Yarrowia lipolytica: one gene and its partner. The protein of the gene in region 1 purifies or fractionates together with the protein of each later gene. This does not show direct contact. Links are inferred from orthologs where the notes say so. Each region holds a gene or a part of one and is shown on either strand. Other genes may lie near its edges.

Region 1 (8,401 bases):
TAATCACGTCTCTCGAGCTAGCTCACCAACCCAACCCCGTCCACACATGGCATCCTGGCCGAGCGGTTAAGGCGAGAGATTAGAAATCTCTTGGGGTTTCCCCGCGTAGGTTCGAATCCTGCGGATGTCGCCATCTTTTTGGTCCTCTTTTGTATGTATATTTCTCGTTTCACGTGATGTGGTTGATTACTGTGCGAACTGTTGGATGTATGATGAAGTGTTTTTTAGGGGTTACCGAGACTATTAGTCTCGTTTGTTTGTACTTCATCAATAATAATGGCGTCAAAGAAGTACCTATTTGAAGTGTTTGTACTTCCTTGTCTCCTTTTGCCCGTCCAGTGTGACTCCTATAACACAAGAACCTGCCGACTTCCTCTATGTTGATTCATGGCGCGTCCCATGGGGAAGAGAGGGGCCCAGATTCCCAACAATTGACAGCTTCTGATACTTTTTGACAGCATTACAGCTCATGGTTCCTCTTTCTTCTCATAAATATACCAACGTTCAACTTTGCCTGTGTTCGTGAGGTCTTCCTCAGCACTGCGAGACCGCTAGACCGTATCAGCGCAAGAGAATGTTGAAATAGCAGGCTACAGTAATGGTTCAGTTATATCCTATTCTTCTACATCTTTTGGGGCCGCTCCCCGAGAGTTCCTACGAGTTGGAGTATCGCCGGAAAGCTCTACTCTGAAAATAATTGCTTTAACAAAGATATCAACTAAACGCGTCTTTCATAGTTGATAGGAGTTCCCTCAACATCCCAGCCATAACGTGGTATCCAGTACTTCAATCGCTCTGAAACTATATCTACATACAAAGTACAACTCAAGAACTGCGTATAGACGTTCATCGTCCTCTAGCTATCGTCCTCTACCATGCTCCAGCATCTCCTTCTACTTACCCTCTTTTCGCGTACACGGGTTTTGGGTTCTTTTTAAAGTTCAATTTACACGCTTTTGATTTTGATCCATCGAGAAATACTGCTCCAGCTTTCTATACCAGAACTCGACACTTTCAGCATGCCGGAGATACGTTCAAATCTGCCCACTACTGCCACCTCGCTCAATGATGGCTTCACGTTGCCCATCACAAAACGCAACTACAACCGTCAGTATGCGCCAATCTACTACATGCGATTGCACCAGCTCATGAGCCAGGTGCTGGATGCTGCTACTTCCAAATGGGCTGATAAGAACGTCAAGTACCTCAACAAGTGTTTGGACGTTCTTGTTGGGGATACGGTGTTTGTGGTCGGCACACTGTTCAAGGACATGAAATACAAACCCAGCATGTTGGAGGAGGTGACCCGCAGCCATTGGGGAGCTCCTCCGGGCAAGAAGCCCAAGTACGTGGACCCTCAGGGCGATTGTGAGGACGGTGGACACAAGGACGATTCGTCGATTCAGCTGGAGGACAGCTCCGGTCGAATCACGCTCGTGGGACCAAAGGTGCAGGAGTTCATGCTCATCACAGGCGTTGTTTGTGGAGTACTAGGCACGGCAGGCGAAAACGGACGCTTCACGGTCGTGGATGTGGTCTGGGGCGGCTTTCCCGAACAGATTTATCGACCTCTGAGTGGAGTCAATGACGGAGAAGACGTTGAGATGGCTGACAATGATACTCCTGAAGACACATACATTTGTCTTGCTTCTGGTCTGTACATTGGCCAGAAGAAGACGGATTACAAACACGTGCTTCTGGCAGAATATCTCCAGGGGCTGCTTGAGGAAGATGGTGCAAAAGATGGACTGGTAAAGCCCAAAAACATTTCGCGGTTCATTATGGCCGGAAACAACTGCTCGTTGGAGTCAGAAAGACCCGTTATCGACACACTATCTCGAACCGTGGACCTCGACGCCTTCAAGCCCATGGCTCGCGTTGACGAGTACATTGCACAATTGCTGCCATCCATCTCTGTTGATATCATGGCAGGAAACGACGATCCCGGCAACATGTCGCTTCCTCAGCAGCCGCTGCATCTGTCCATGTTCCCTCAGAGCCGCAAGTTCAAAAAGGCCACCTTTGGGTCTGTTTCCAACCCCTACTGGTGGGACTTTTCAACCGACGAGGCGCCTCTCAAGGTGCTGGGAACCTCGGGACAAAACGTGTCGGACATCTACAAATATCTGATCGAAGGACGAGACGATATTCTGGATATCATGGAGCATACGCTTGCCTGGCGGCACTTGTGTCCCACTGCCCCAGATACCCTGACTTGCTATCCTTATGGAGATGACGATCCCTTCATCATCAAGGAAACTCCCCACCTGTACTTCTGCGGCAACCAGGACGAGTTCCAGACCAGTGTTGTCAAGCATGACGGAGTGTCAGTGCGTCTGGTGGCAGTTCCGCGGTTTGATGAGACGGGAGAGGTGGTACTGGTGAACATGCGAACATTGAAGGCAGAGGTGCTGAGGATTGTCGCCTAGCTGGAGAGCGGAGCTCAACGTAGCGAGGGTAGGCAGCAGCACTACGAAGTAGGGGGTTTCGATGAGCGCTTCTAACTCTCGCTCTCAACAGATACATGCCATGTTCTCAGCAATTGTCGCTGGGACTCTTGACAAACTACCTCTTGTAGTGGGGACTACAAGTAGTTAGGAACTAATATATTGCACTTGCATGGCTTTATGATCGTAGCACAAGTGAGAGGTGGTTGGACAGTGTAGCGTATGAAGCCATCTTCTACGAGCTCTAGGGCACATTTCCCCCGTTATCACACAAGTAATAGTTCCAGTTCTTCCGAAACATCGAGTATGACTCAACACAGCGACCATGATGATATATGTTCTACACTCTTTGACTATATACAGTAGGCTACTTTTCAGGGGCGGGAAGAGCCAGCAACCCGTTAGGGGCAGGGAGGGCCTTGGTAAAGTCTCGTACGACAATGGAGCAGTCGACTTCTCGACACAGGTCCTTCTGCTTGACGGTGATCTTGTTGAGGAACTCGACTCCGGTGGACCGCTCAATGGCATCCACGGGGGTCTGAAACGAGGTAAGCTTGGTCTCGTTGGGAATCACGTCGTTAGGGAGCACAAAGGCAGCAACAGCCACGTCACTGGTTCCGGGATTCTTGACGGGCTTCTCGGCCAGCACAATCTTGAAAAAGTGTGTGGGGACAGCCACGTTGGGGGGGTTACCAATCACCTCGTACGACACTCGGTACTTGCCATCGGGGTACTTCTTAGGCAGGTACAGCGGTCCGGTCACAATGTACACGCTGCCGTACTGCTTGGTCAGCCGTCGGCAAAAGTCCTCCAGGTGGGCCCAGTAGTCTCTGTTGAATCCGTCTCCGACCTGGGGGGCAATGTTGGTCAGGAAGAAGGTCTCGTCCATGGCCTTCTGGGAGAACTTTGCGTCAGCTGCGGGTGCCTGGTGGCCTCGATCGTAGCCCGATCGGAAGTAGTCGGCCAGCCGAGCCCGGAACTTGAGCGGCACCTCCTGATCTTCCTTGAAGTTGGAGAACTTTCGATCCGGGGCTCCCTCGCCCTTGTTGGACTTGATGGAGTCCGGGGTGATGTGTTCCACGACCCACATGGGGTTACGTCGTTCTCGGTCGTAGCACGACACAAACTCCTGTCGGTAGGCAATGTCGTGGGCTGCTCCGGGGAAGCCGTACTTGAAGAACTCCCCTGGCTTGACTGGAACCGCCGGGGTTGAGCCGTTGAACACGTCGAGAGACGCTCTGGGCGAGTCCGCCCACAGATGGGCCGCCAGACCGGTGCCGGCAATAGCTGCGATGGAAGCTGCGATTTTGGACATGTCGAAAGAGAGTACTGTACCGTGCTGAGGCTGTAGTCTGAGATCAAGGGTTTATGTACAGCCAAAGTTTGATCGTAGAGTTTGGGCGCGTCTTGAGCATCTGATAGGCGTTAATTTAAAGAGGATCAGAGACGGGGGACCTGGGGTCTAGTGATGGATACAAGAATGAATGGTGATGTGACCACCTGGTACAGTCCGAGTGCCAGCTCTCATTAGGTGGACAAGCCAATTGGAAGACAGAGATACAACGCGTGGATCTGACCAGTGGTGATGAGAGTGAGAGTTTTACAGTATGACGAAACCAGTTAGTGCAATACGTGACTGCCTGCAAGTTCATTTTGACCTCCACAATAATTTGTACGTGCAATCTCACTTTGACGAGATTCTGCTGGTTCTTGACCTCTCTTGTAAGTCGTCTAAAGTTGACTTCTCGGTACTTGTACCTGCTATATGAGTAAGCTGTTATACTGTAGATGTGCACGAATCAGGGGTGCAGCGTTCAAGCACCGTGAGACGTGAAGTGCAAGGCAAAGGGGACCAGACCTGTGACTTGACGAAGAACAATTGCAATTTACGCATGTTAACCGCTATTTATTTCTAATTCTAGTCACTGGTTGCTTCCTGGTTGTCTTTTTTTCGATTCTCGTCAAACTCAAGTACAAGCCCAACTAATTTTCACCCCTTCCCCAGTCATATACTTGTACATGCAGAAAAAAATAATACTGTACTTGTACTTGTATAATTCTGTAAATCAGAATTCACAGTTCGCATCTAATAAAACCCCTGAATGATGCACTCTACAGCAAAAATACCTGGTACTGTATTTTCAATAGCCATAAATGACCATTGGTACTTGTACGGTCATAGCATCATACTCTACTCATAAGCGGAGCTCGTATCTAACGAAATACTTTCTGCCCAGTGACCAAACTTAATACGAGTAGGAGTGCTTGGGACCCCGTACAAGTTCTGTAATTTCCCTCTCAAAAACACGAAAAGTGAGCAAATAATCCTCACACTACTCAGCCTACCAGTCCCATGTCACTAATAACACAGCAACTACCCCCTGTAATCCTATATCTAACATACAAGAACCACACACCGCGTTCAACACACTCGGACCCTTCAACATCCACCGAAAGATCATCTGAACCGGACAACATGACCAACCTGGTATTCGTACTGTGGCCCGATGTAACAAATAAAAAACACGCCACAACGAGACATTAAGAGAATAACAAAACAATCAACTCTTTCCTCCGGTCATTCGACAAGAGTTTCTAGCTGAAATCCCCTCCAATTTCAACTAGAAACTCAAATACCAATAAGGTCAAAAAAATGGCAATTAATTCGTCTCGCGCGGGAATTAGTGGTGTAAATCGACAGGCTAGATTCATGCACACTTTCAACCTTATTTAAAATTCTATTCAACATATACTCTGTTAAAAAAGTCAAATGACGTGTGCAATGCAGTCCTGCATGCTTACAGTCGGGAACGGAGCTGAGCTTAATTTGTGCCTGCCACTCATTCAAAATTGCAGACACGCAAAACAGAGAGACCTGTCGCAATATTTTACCACACTCATCGTAAATTCATATTTTAAAAAATTGTTAATGCCATCGTACATAGTTCTATCTTTCTACTGTACTGTTAGTGACCAACTGCCACTCACTCCTACTCTACTTATGCGAAGGACTTGAGCTGAATCTGAGGCTCCTCATATTCGCCGTCGTCGTCGTCGTCGTCATCATCCTGGGCTCCTCGCAAGGTCTGCTCCAATACCTGCTTCTGACTAGGACTCAAAGCTTGCACAACAGATCGGAAAATCTGCTGGTCCTTGCCTGCCAGCTCCAACAGCTTCTCGTTGGCGTAGCGAGAAGACGTAGAAGCATGCCAGACAAGAATGGGCATGATGATGGAGAAGGAGCCGGTGGAAGCATGGTTTACAGAATAGTTGAACAGCAAGTCCACAATCTGAGCACGCGTTTCCGTACCTTCGAGACGCTTCACTAGGTGGGGGATCAGCTCCAAAGTCAGGTTTCGAGCTGCTGGAGACGAGTTGGACACACCCATCACCGCGGAAATACATCCAAGAGCAGTCTGCATATCGCCACTGTCGACCAGCTCAATGTACTTGCTAGCAATGTCGGAAATGGTCGAATGATTGAGCTGCACGTTAAGAACCTTGGTAATGACGGTTGTCAGAGAAATGACACTCTGAGAACCAGAGTGCTTTGACACGAGCTCCCGCACGAAGCCAGTGACAAGAGCTGAGATGTCCTCCTGAGCACCCACGGTAACCATGGCGTCACAAATGTCACGCAGGAACTGAATGTACGCCAGAATGGGGGTCTCGGCGGTAGACAGAATACTCAGGTAGATGTGAGCAAAAACCTCCACCAGATCGGCCTGCACAATAGGAGGGAAGGCCTGGAGCATCGCAGATAGAGACGTGAAGGTCTCCTGAGCAAATTGAGCGAGCTCAGCTTGAGGGTATGACTTGACAGGAGTCTCGGAAATAGGCAAGACCCCTCCCAATCCGACCATGCACACTCGAAGAAGCTCAAACAGCTGTGTAATGTGGTCCCAGTCGTCAGAGGAAGAGGTTCGGGAGGCTCCGGACACACAAAGACGCATGCAAATCTTGGCCAAAACTGCCTTTTCTTCAAGAGAAACTGTCAGCATAAGACGATCAAACAGATCAAGCAGCTCAGAGAAGATGGAAGGCTCAAAAACGCGATTACCAGCCGAGACACAGACATTGTGGAGAGTATGCAAAATCTCCAGATCAGAGGAATGGGTCAGGTATTCGAAACAGATACCAAACAGCACAAAGAAAAACGACGCCTGCTCGTCGGGGACAGACGAAACGGCATGCACAATCACTTTCCATGTGTCCTTGTATGATTCGAGTCTTGACTGACCCGACAGAGAAGAGTACAGGTTGTCGAAACCAGGTTCAGGTTCAAACTTGATCTGCGCATACTCTTTGATGGCCGTGATCCACAGAGGAGTCAGCTGCTTCTGGTACTGGGTCACTAGGCCACGCAGATAATCCTTGTGATGACTCTGGACTTTGATGTCAGCCCAAGCTGCGAGAATGGCAAGTCGCAGCTTCAGCTGGTTGTTGGGACCCACAGGCTTGAGGTCTCCAACACACTCTAGCGTGTTTGTGTCTGTCAGAGCAGTTGTCAGAAACTTAAGAAGACGTAGTCGGTCCAGGTTCTTAACAATGCCACTACTGACAAACTGGCCACAAACACACACGGCCTTGGAGGCCAACTCGGTGGTGGAATCAGCTCCAAACGCGGGTGAGAGCGCGGAGGAAATCTGAGCCTGGTACTGCTCCAGCAGGGGAACATCAGGGAACTCGGGATCGGGAATATCACCAATAGACACAATCACAGAGAGCAGTCTGATACCGAGAAGACGAAGATTGACGATATCGGACGTTGAGCATGTAAATGCCAGTCGGATAATGTCACCAATCTTTGCCAGAATGGCTGGAGTCGACTTGGCTTCCTCCATAATCTTGATGAGCGACTCCATGGCAAGAGCTCGAGTTTGCCATCGAAGAGGCTCGCCGGTGGTAGACTCTCCAACGGTGATGGCAGCACTCTCATCTTCAGTATGCTGAGTCTGACCACTGGAGGTGGCGTTCAGATTCAGGGTCATCAGACGCTGGATTCGAAGCACCCAGTGGATTCGGCCAGTGCCAGAATCGGCAGCCGAAGCCTCCACCCATGCAGATATGAACTTGGCCACCTCCTCGGATAGAGTCGAATTGTATACCAACCAAATCTGCAGCTCCTTACCCGAGAGGTCGATGGTGTAAATCTTGACGAGCTGATGTAGAGCTTGGACGGCCAGATCACGAACAGCTGACGATTCGTGGGTCAGGTAAGCCAACAGACGGCCGGTAACCTCCTGAAGATCGAACATGGACACGTCGAAGACAAGAGCTTCTTGCACGATGGAAATGGCATGCGTGGGATCCTCAAACCAGAGAGAGTCACACAACAGCTTAATCTCCCGATGGACCACAATTTCAGGGCCCATGACAACCACCAGACCATGAAGCACCTCAGCAAGAACTCGCACGTTGTTCAGGTCAGCAGCAATGTTCTGAGAGGCAACCGAAGCAACTTCATCGTGGTTCTCAGCCACATAGAGACCTGTGACGGTAGACAGGAGCGAAGAGGCAGAGCCAGGGTTGAAAGAAGACGAGTCCACAATCAAATCCACACCCTTGAGAGCCCAGTAATGCACAATAGGATGAGGGTCCTTGGCCAGGGAAATCAAGATACCCAATACGGTCTTCAGGTTAGCATGGCCGGGCTGAGAGAACCGGAAAATGTATCCTAAAGAAAGAGAGCAGCCGGACCGAGTATGCGGGTCAGTTTCGGCCACAATTTGGTCGATGATATTCTTGATCTGAGCCGTGACGAAGGAAGCACCACCATAGACACACAGCAAACCGAGATTCTCAGCGGCCAGTCGTCGGATTCGAGAGTCCTCATGCTTGATAGAACCCTTGAGAAGCTCCAGCAGCTGAGCAACCACTCGAGCGTCCATCGACCGGGCCTTCTTCTTTAGTCCCAGGTTCAGAGCTACAAGGCAGTTAACAACCACAGCCTC
Region 2 (8,292 bases), about 240 kb from region 1:
TGCGATCTTGGTCAGATGACATCATAATGAGACACATGCGCGGCTCGACGAAGCAATAGGATAATCGGCTGAAGCTGCAATTGGGGAGATAAGTAGCGCTGTGAAGGGGGATTTCTTCCCCAGGACACAAATAAAACCCCCCATGAAAAGCATTCTTTCGATCTTCACGCCACAGAAATTAACTCGGTTATACGAGGCAACCCCCACAGACACGTTTTAGTTGAATGTTGTTGACAGAGCCACCGAGATTAGTTGAGAAGCTCTCAAGATTCTTAATCTGTCACTCGATAATATGTCGATATGATGAGTTTCGGACGTCCAAATTGTTGGTATTTTCAAATTCAATTCGGACCCGTGAACGCCGCACAGACACGGACACGTGCTCTGCTTTGTTTTTTGTTTGGGTCCTGTGCGAGTGGTGTTGAGGAGGAAGAGTGCTCTTACTTGGGTATGCGTCTGTATAACGAGATGGTGAGTGTATCGTACCACTAGTAGCGCTACAGTAGCTACAAGAGTACTACCGTACGAGTGATCTATAAGGTGGCTGTATGGAGATAGACCTGCGCAGAGTGCAAATGATACTCTTCCAGTGAGACACATCTACACAATGTCTCGAAATAGTGCGGGGCGCTGTGGTGTTGTAGTCCAAGACCATTCCGCTTCGCATATGCCTTTTGGCTCAATGCGTCAGTTATGTTACAAATAAATACTTGGTCAACTGCAGTGACCGATAGTTGGTTGATGGTTGATACCTCCTTGCTAGACGCCCAACAACTTGCCCACAGCAGCAGCTCCTCCAAGCACAAACCGCACGAGAGAATCTCCCGCGAGGCTGCCAATGGCGTACATGTTGGGAAGCACCTGAAAGTCGCCGTAGAAGGCATTATCCATGGCCTCGCACGACTGGGCGTCGCCTGGAGCTCCCGCAGCCACGTAGGTGCATGGAGAGGCGCCTGCCGAGTCGGGGGTCTTTGGATCACCGTTGGACACAGGTCGGTTTGTGTGCTTGTGTCCGAGGTCTGAGAGACCGTTTGATGGGTCTCCCTTGTCTTTCCTCGGGTTGAGAATGCGCTTGGAAATCGTATGCTTGTTCACCGTGTAGGCCTCCTGTTGAGCGAGGTCTAGGGCATGCAGGATGCGGTTTGATAGAAACTGCAGAGACCCGGTTCGACCGACACAAATGCGCACGCCTCCTACGTGTCGAGTCAGAACCTCTCCGCCGGGAAGTTCTAGTTTGAGAACTCCGTCTTCAGCAGATAGAATCTTTGTGTTTGCCAGTCCCTCGTAGTGGCATCCGTTTTCTTCAAACTTACATTTTCGAGACGTTGAAACAACCCCATTAGTTGGTTGAGCACCGCTAGCAGACCTTTTCTGAGTTGCAGCTGCCAGCCTCATCCATCTGTAAATAGAAGCGTACTCGGGGTACAGCTCTCTAGGGAATCCTTTTAAAGGACACGGTTTGTCACCCCATTTGAACAAATGAAGCACTCTTCCGCCCTGCTTGAAAGTCGAACTGATGATGTCGGCAGCAGAGAAGCCAGATCCGACCACCAGGGTGACATCTGAGTCCGAATGGTCAAAGTGGAAGAGCCCATTGAACCGTTTGTCAATCAGCTCGTTGAGAGTCATGCCCGTGCACTCCGAGTTGTACAGCAACGACTTGGATGAGCAGTTTGCGTGTTTGTGGGTCTTGAACTGTGACGGTTTGTCGAAAATGCCGGTTGCCAAAACCACATTAGTTGTAGTAAGTCGGCAGGACGGACTTCTCTTAGGCGACGCCCAGGAGGCTGTTTGCGAACTTGGGCCAGAGGGAGATCCAGGAACAGATTCAGAGCCAGGGGTCATAAGACCAACCTGACCGTTGTAACTGACGGAATAGCCTCCCTTGCTTCTGATATCGACCTCTATTACGGTTCCGATAATTAGTGAGTCTGAGATGCCCACAATGTCGGGGTAGGCGTCGAAATACGACGCTATATCTTTCCTTCGAGGCCGCAAAAACTCCGGAGGTGCATTGCCGTACTTTTCTTTGTAATGCGTGGAAAATGGGTAGCCTGGGAGAGACAGCATTTCTGCGTAGCTCAAACATTGGTCATCAGGAGTGGTTGTAGAAGTATCAGATTGAGCCCATTGGCCTCCAGGATGGGTTCCGATGACCACGTGATCAATCGCCCGCTCGGGTTCGTGCACCCACGTGATTCGGCTATCCATTTGGTCCCTACTGACGTAGTTGATCTCGTCTGAGACCACCAGCAGATCCAGAAGCAGGTTGACTGGCAGCATGGACGATCGGAAATGCGGACCCTTGTCGATCACGTGTTGCAAAACGTCTCGGTTGGACACCGCGTCCAGCAGCGACTTGCCTCCCGGCCTCTTCTCATACTGAGCCAGCAGCCTGTGGAGTTCGGGATCAGGATGTGGCTTGTGGGGGTTGTAGTAGGGTATGTTGCCGTGCAGAATGTAGGAGAGACAGAGTCCCGCGGGACCTGAGCCGATGACTACCGTGTTGATAGACATTGTGGCGCGTCAGAAGTTCTCCAAGTCCTCGTCACACTGGTTGGTTGCTCATGTCGACATTTTGCATCAGAGTTTGTCCTTTAGCGCAACAGAGTTGGGCGAGCTTGCAGCGTGCAGTTGTGCGGTGAGTTATGCGAGGTCGAGAGATGTGGGGGTGAGGAACCAAGCAAGTGTTTGTGTTGTGGATGAGGGGAAAAGATTGCGTTTCTCTTTGGTTACTTATCCTTTGCTCCGGTGCTACGTGCTTCAGCTGCTTCAGCCACAATTCTGTCGTGCAATACGCTGCTGCAACTGTCACATCTGCGCAATTTGTCAGCCACCCTAAGCTCACATTCTGCCTGGTGCGAATCCTCCAAGCGTATGAGACATGTCCTTGTGGCGAAAGAGAGCCGCAAATCAGGTTGTGACAAACGGCATTTCGATTGGCCAGTCTCGAGATACGCCATATACAAACAGAGCTCTGTATCCTGTGTCTCATCAGCTATTTATAAAGCCGACTTGTAGATGCGGGCACACACTGCACACCCGCCAAAGGACCGCCCAATCAGCAAAGGAGAAACGAGTTGGAGTGACACAAGAACCGAGTGTTTTTTTCAGCTTTTTTATATAAGGACGGCTGTCCCGCGCCCTGGCGAGCAAAGTACTGTACAGTACTTGTACGATACAGTAGCACCGCGCGCCATCTTGGTGGGTCTTGGTGTCATCCATCAGTCAGCTTGGTTCCTGTGCCTAACTGTAATTGGCGGAGTCCAGTGGACCCGAAATCACGGCGTTGGGCCCGTCTCAGGCGTGTGGGGGTAAGTGGGGGTACAATATGAAGATGTAGCTGTGGACGTACCATGTGCAGCCGTCGTTATTTTTCGGGTTTTTTGCTTTGTGTCATGGAGTAGCCCCTTTTATTTCTCTTTCAAATTTCACCTTTCAAATTTCACCTTTCAAATTTCACTTTTCAAATTTCAAACAATGGATTACTTCCCGTCTTGAAATCGAACTGACGATACTAACTGTATACGCCGGCACTTACAGTACATTCGACATGATGCATTGGGTTTGGACGTGGCAACTGTTACGTAAGTGAGAATCAGAAGAAGTCGGTTAATTCCCTCAATTGGTGGGTTGGAGCGATATAACTCGTACGTCTAGGTTTCCTGACATTCAGCTATTGTCACATTTAATATCTTCTCGAAATATCCTTTCCTGCCCTCACAATAAGCAACTCTCTTGCAGTTACCCGCTACACTCACTTGCTACGCTACGATTACAATACAAGTCTAACCATCAACACTCCCCCACACCCCAACATGTCCGTGTCCCAAACCGATTCTACCGTGACTGTCACTATCGGCTCGTCCGAAGTCAAGATCCTACGATACGGAGCCACCGTCCTATCGTGGACCATTGACGGCAAGGAACAGCTGTGGCTGTCCGAGTCTGCCAAGCTCGATGGCTCCAAGGCCGTGCGAGGAGGCATTCCTCTTGTTTTCCCCGTTTTTGGCAAGTCCACCGAGGGCCCCACTTCGGCCCTTCCCCAGCATGGCTTTGCACGAACCTCCACCTGGGAGTACCTTGGTCAGACTTCGGAGAAGCCCGTGGCTGCCATCCAGTTTGGTCTGGGTCCTGAGAACCTGTCTGACGAGGCCAAGAAGCAGTGGGACTACAACTTCACTCTGATTTACACCGTGACTATCGACGACGCCAACAAGACTCTCGAGACCCGAATGTCAGTGGAGAACGCTGAGCAGAACAAGCCCTTCGACTTCAACATCCTCTTCCACACCTATCTGCGAGTCCCCGAGATTGCCAACGTCGAAGTGACTGGTCTGCAGGCCGTCCCCGTCAAGGATAAGGTGACTGTTTCTTCCTACGTCGAGCAGGCCGCCAAGGTGACTGTATCCGGAGAGGTCGATCGAGTGTACGAAAATGTGCCTGGAGCTGTCAATGTCGATGTCGAGAACAAACCCTACCTAACCGTCACTCGAGACAATATCAACGACGTGGTGGTGTGGAACCCCTGGACCGAGAAGGCCGAGGGTCTCGCTGATTTCACCCCCAAGCAGGGCTTCCACCATATGATCTGCATCGAGGCAGGAGACGTGGCCAAGTGGCAGAAGCTGGCCGCTGGCGATAAGTGGGAGGGTGGCCAGAAGATCAAGGCTCATTTGTAGACAAGTGTACAACGAGTTTCTTAGGCGAATGAATTTATTGTTGATTTGGGGGACCCGGAGGATTGCAACCGTGTCAATGGATACGATTGACTCATATTTCTGTTTCCGAGACGTAGTTATAGGATTTCAAGCTGACAAGCAACGGATTGTACCCCCTATCTCCATATATAACCAGCACTTCTAACATACAGTATTGTAGCAACATGTACTGAGCGGAAAGAAGTCAAGCTGCCCACGAGAGCATTGCTGAACAGTGCAATGTCATAATAAGAAGGATGTTAGTACATTATTCCAAATCTTCCTGTAAGAGAAACACATCAGTCATATTTACACTCATCACTTCCCAGGTCTGTATGCTCTAGGATAATCGACCAGCAATCGCCGTTCTGGGCTAGTGTCGCACCTCTGTATGCTCTGCATCATTCCTTCTTGCACATCTATTTTTGTTAGTGGGTCCATTGGAAGGTGCACATATTGGTGCACATATTGAGGCTTTCTGCGATACAGAAACGGGATATAATTATACCATTAGAGTCGCTGGGGAATTCTGCATTTAATGGCATACATTTTCTTCTCCTTTCACGGGTAATTTCGTCAGTTGTCGGACATATCGTTAACACCAAGTGCGCGCCTCCGCTACGCAACCTTGGTATGTCCGTCCATTTATCAGCACCTTATTTTTGTCCGCCCAACCTTGCTTGTAAGGCGTACGGTTCGAGAAGAGCCGTTACACCTTGCCGAAGGAAGCAAACGCAAAGCAGGTTGTTGATCAGAATAGGCTTTTAGAGGACATGCCGAATGCGAGGGAAGGTAGCAAGTTTTGGGTGAAGAGGCGGAGGTATTGAGATGGGGAGGTTTACAATCGATTTTTCGAGTCTTGTTTACTCGATTCGACCTTTTCCGCGACAAAATTGACCCATTACAGCCCGTTTTTATTGCTGCCATCTTTTTCTATCACTGTCTAAATCTGCTACAATAGTATGAACTGAATTGGAGCGAACCTTCATAATTGTTCCATGACATGACAAACTGACGGACATAAGAAATGCAATGTAGATGAAAGTTGACGGAGATCAAGTACATAGTGGAGGATATATAACAGTGCACTGCTGCCGGAAGATACCTCCTGACATCCCATAACCCACACATCCAACACACAAACACAACATGTCTACTACACCCACCACTCTCATCACTGGAGCCACTGGCTTCATTGCCGGCCATTGCATCGAGCAGCTTCTGAAGGCCGACCACAAGGTCATTGGAACGATTCGATCGCAGGAGAAGGGCCAGCGATTGGCCGCTGCTTTCCCCGAGGCCATCAAGACCGGCCAGCTGGTGTTTGAGACTGTTTCCGATGTCCGATCCGAGCAGGAGTTCAAGACTCTGTTCCAGAAGCACACTGACATCAAGTATGTGCTCCACACCGCCTCTCCCTTCCATTTCAACGTCGAGGACCCCGTCAAGGATATGCTTGAGCCTGCGGTTGAGGGTACTCTGACCGTCCTCAAGACCGCCAAGCAGTACGCTCCCCAGGTTGAGAAGTTCGTCATCACTTCGTCTTTCGCCGCCATGATGAACTGGCACGAGGTTGGCGACTCCTCCGCCGTCGTCACCGAGAAGTCCTGGAACCCCGTCACTTGGGACGAGGCTGCCCAGAAGGGCAATGTTGTCGTAACCTACCTGGGCTCCAAGAAGTTCGCCGAGAAGGCCGCTTGGGATTTCATGGAGTCTGAGAAGCCCTCCTTTGGCCTCACCACTGTCAACCCTGCCTACGTCTTTGGTCCTGGTATTGCTATTGATGCCAAGGCTCTCAACACCTCCAACGAGGTCATTGTCCAGGGAGCTCTCTCTACCAAGCCTGGTCAGGATGCTCCTGCTGGCCCTGCCCAGATGTGGGTTGACGTGCGAGACGTGGCCAAGGCCCACCTGTCTGCCATCTCCAAGACCCTAGACAACCAGCGTCTCATGCTGTGCGTGTCCAAGTTCTGTAACCAGGATCTCCTTGACGTGATCAACGAGAAGGTGCCTGAGCTCAAGGGAAAGATTGCTACCGGAAAGCCTGGAACCGGAGCTGAAACTGACAAGGAGGGCTTTCAGTTTGATAACGACCAGACACGAAAGGCTCTCAACTACGACTGGATTCCCCTTGACAAGTCTGTGGCTGACTTTGCTAACCAATGGCTGTCGTTCCAGAACTAAAACGTTCGAGAGCGAAGCCCGAAGAGTCCTTCCAGTGATTTGACTGACCCCATAACCACCAATAGATATAGATGAATGGATAACTTATAGAATCATTCAACTTAGAGATGATAGAACGCGGACTACACAAGTACAATACTGTACTCGTACCAGTACATACCATACACATAACGTAACCCAACATATATTACTAGAGATGTATGTACTCGTCGCACGAAAAGCAAGTGTCTGACTGCCTCTTGCAGACGCTCAGCCTGCGGTTTCGTCATCTGCTCTTACAACTTTGCCTTTTCTTGAGTGCCCACACCTCCACTGGTAGCAGCAACATTGCCTCTGATACCGCCGTTCTCAGGAGCCTTCTCATCGCCAAAGAAAACCACCGTCACGGTCAGGTCGTCTCGGTATCGCCGTGACTGAGGAGCAGGGATGCTCAGAAGCATGGACAGCTGTTCCCGATCGGCTCCTCCAAGAGCGTTTCGAATCAGGTGAGTTGCCACGTTCTCATCCTCAACAGTGGGCTTGAGAACGGCACCCTGGTGTCGGAAAGGAGGCTTCATGGCGTCCTGGTCGACTGTCAGATCAACCACCTTTGTCGAGTCCTTGCTGCCAAACATCTTGTCCCACATTCCTCCAGACTTGGCCGAAGCGGCGGTGGAAGACTCGGTGATGGGGTGAGTCTCCATCCACTGCACGACCAGAGACACCACCTCGTCGTTGGAGAGCATCTCGAACAACCCATCGGAGCCCATCACCAGAAAGTCACCACTCTTGACCTTGGTGGTAGTCACCTCAGGCTCAGCTGTGACGTAGGGAGGCGACCTCAGCTCCGGAGGCGTGCTTCGGCCGAAAAAGGCACGTGCCACCTTATCTTGCAAGTCACGTGTCCACTTGTATCGGGCGTCTCCAAACGCTCGGGTGGGTTCCAGACCGCCCAGAACTCGGCCCCGTCGAATCACACGGTCCTCTTCGCCAGGATGCTCTTTTCGGATTCGGTCAGCTTCTCGCTGGTTGGAGCCAGTCTGGTCGACAGACAGGGCACGTGCAGTCCATCCAGAAGAAGACTTGGAGCCGAGAACAGCACGAGAATCGCCGGTGACAGCAACTCGAAGAGTGTGAGACAGGGTATCATAGAATGCCAGCAGACCACAGGATCCAGAAACGGCGGGAGCCAGCGTCTCGGGAGACTGGCCCTTTTGGGGGTTCTTGAGCAGTCTGTTAATGGAGTGGATGCAGATCTCGTCATCCAGAGCCAGGAAGCCTCTCTTGATAGCCAGATCGATGGTTTCAGGGCTGGGAGTTCGTCGTATGTTATCGCCAAGCGTCTTGCCAGCATCGCTGTAGCCCGCATCAAGCTGTCGAATCACATAGTTGATGAGCTCTTCTCTGAGCTTGGCAGAGGTGGTCCAGC

What was found.
Region 2: the proteins of YALI1_D06638g (region 1) and YALI1_D09055g purify together in Saccharomyces cerevisiae (affinity purification with mass spectrometry; 4 studies listed by BioGRID, with this or other methods). This does not show direct contact. The link is inferred for Yarrowia lipolytica from reciprocal best matches to the Saccharomyces cerevisiae genes NUC1 and YMR099C.

What each region holds. Positions count from the first base shown.
Region 1 is NC_090773.1:659,182-667,582, reverse strand, and holds YALI1_D06638g (uncharacterized protein), read right to left. Parts: upstream 3,763-8,401; coding exon 2,815-3,762; downstream 1-2,814. Other genes in the region: YALI1_D06665g (uncharacterized protein), read left to right, coding at 1,020-2,429; YALI1_D06572g (uncharacterized protein), read right to left, coding at 5,447-8,401. UniProt on the Saccharomyces cerevisiae protein: This enzyme has both RNase and DNase activity.
Region 2 is NC_090773.1:901,047-909,338, reverse strand, and holds YALI1_D09055g (uncharacterized protein), read left to right. Parts: upstream 1-3,818; coding exon 3,819-4,682; downstream 4,683-8,292. Other genes in the region: YALI1_D09068g (uncharacterized protein), read right to left, coding at 760-2,517; YALI1_D09034g (uncharacterized protein), read left to right, coding at 5,850-6,884; YALI1_D09004g (uncharacterized protein), read right to left, coding at 7,160-8,292. UniProt on the Saccharomyces cerevisiae protein: Catalyzes the interconversion between the alpha and beta anomers from at least three hexose 6-phosphate sugars (Glc6P, Gal6P, and Man6P).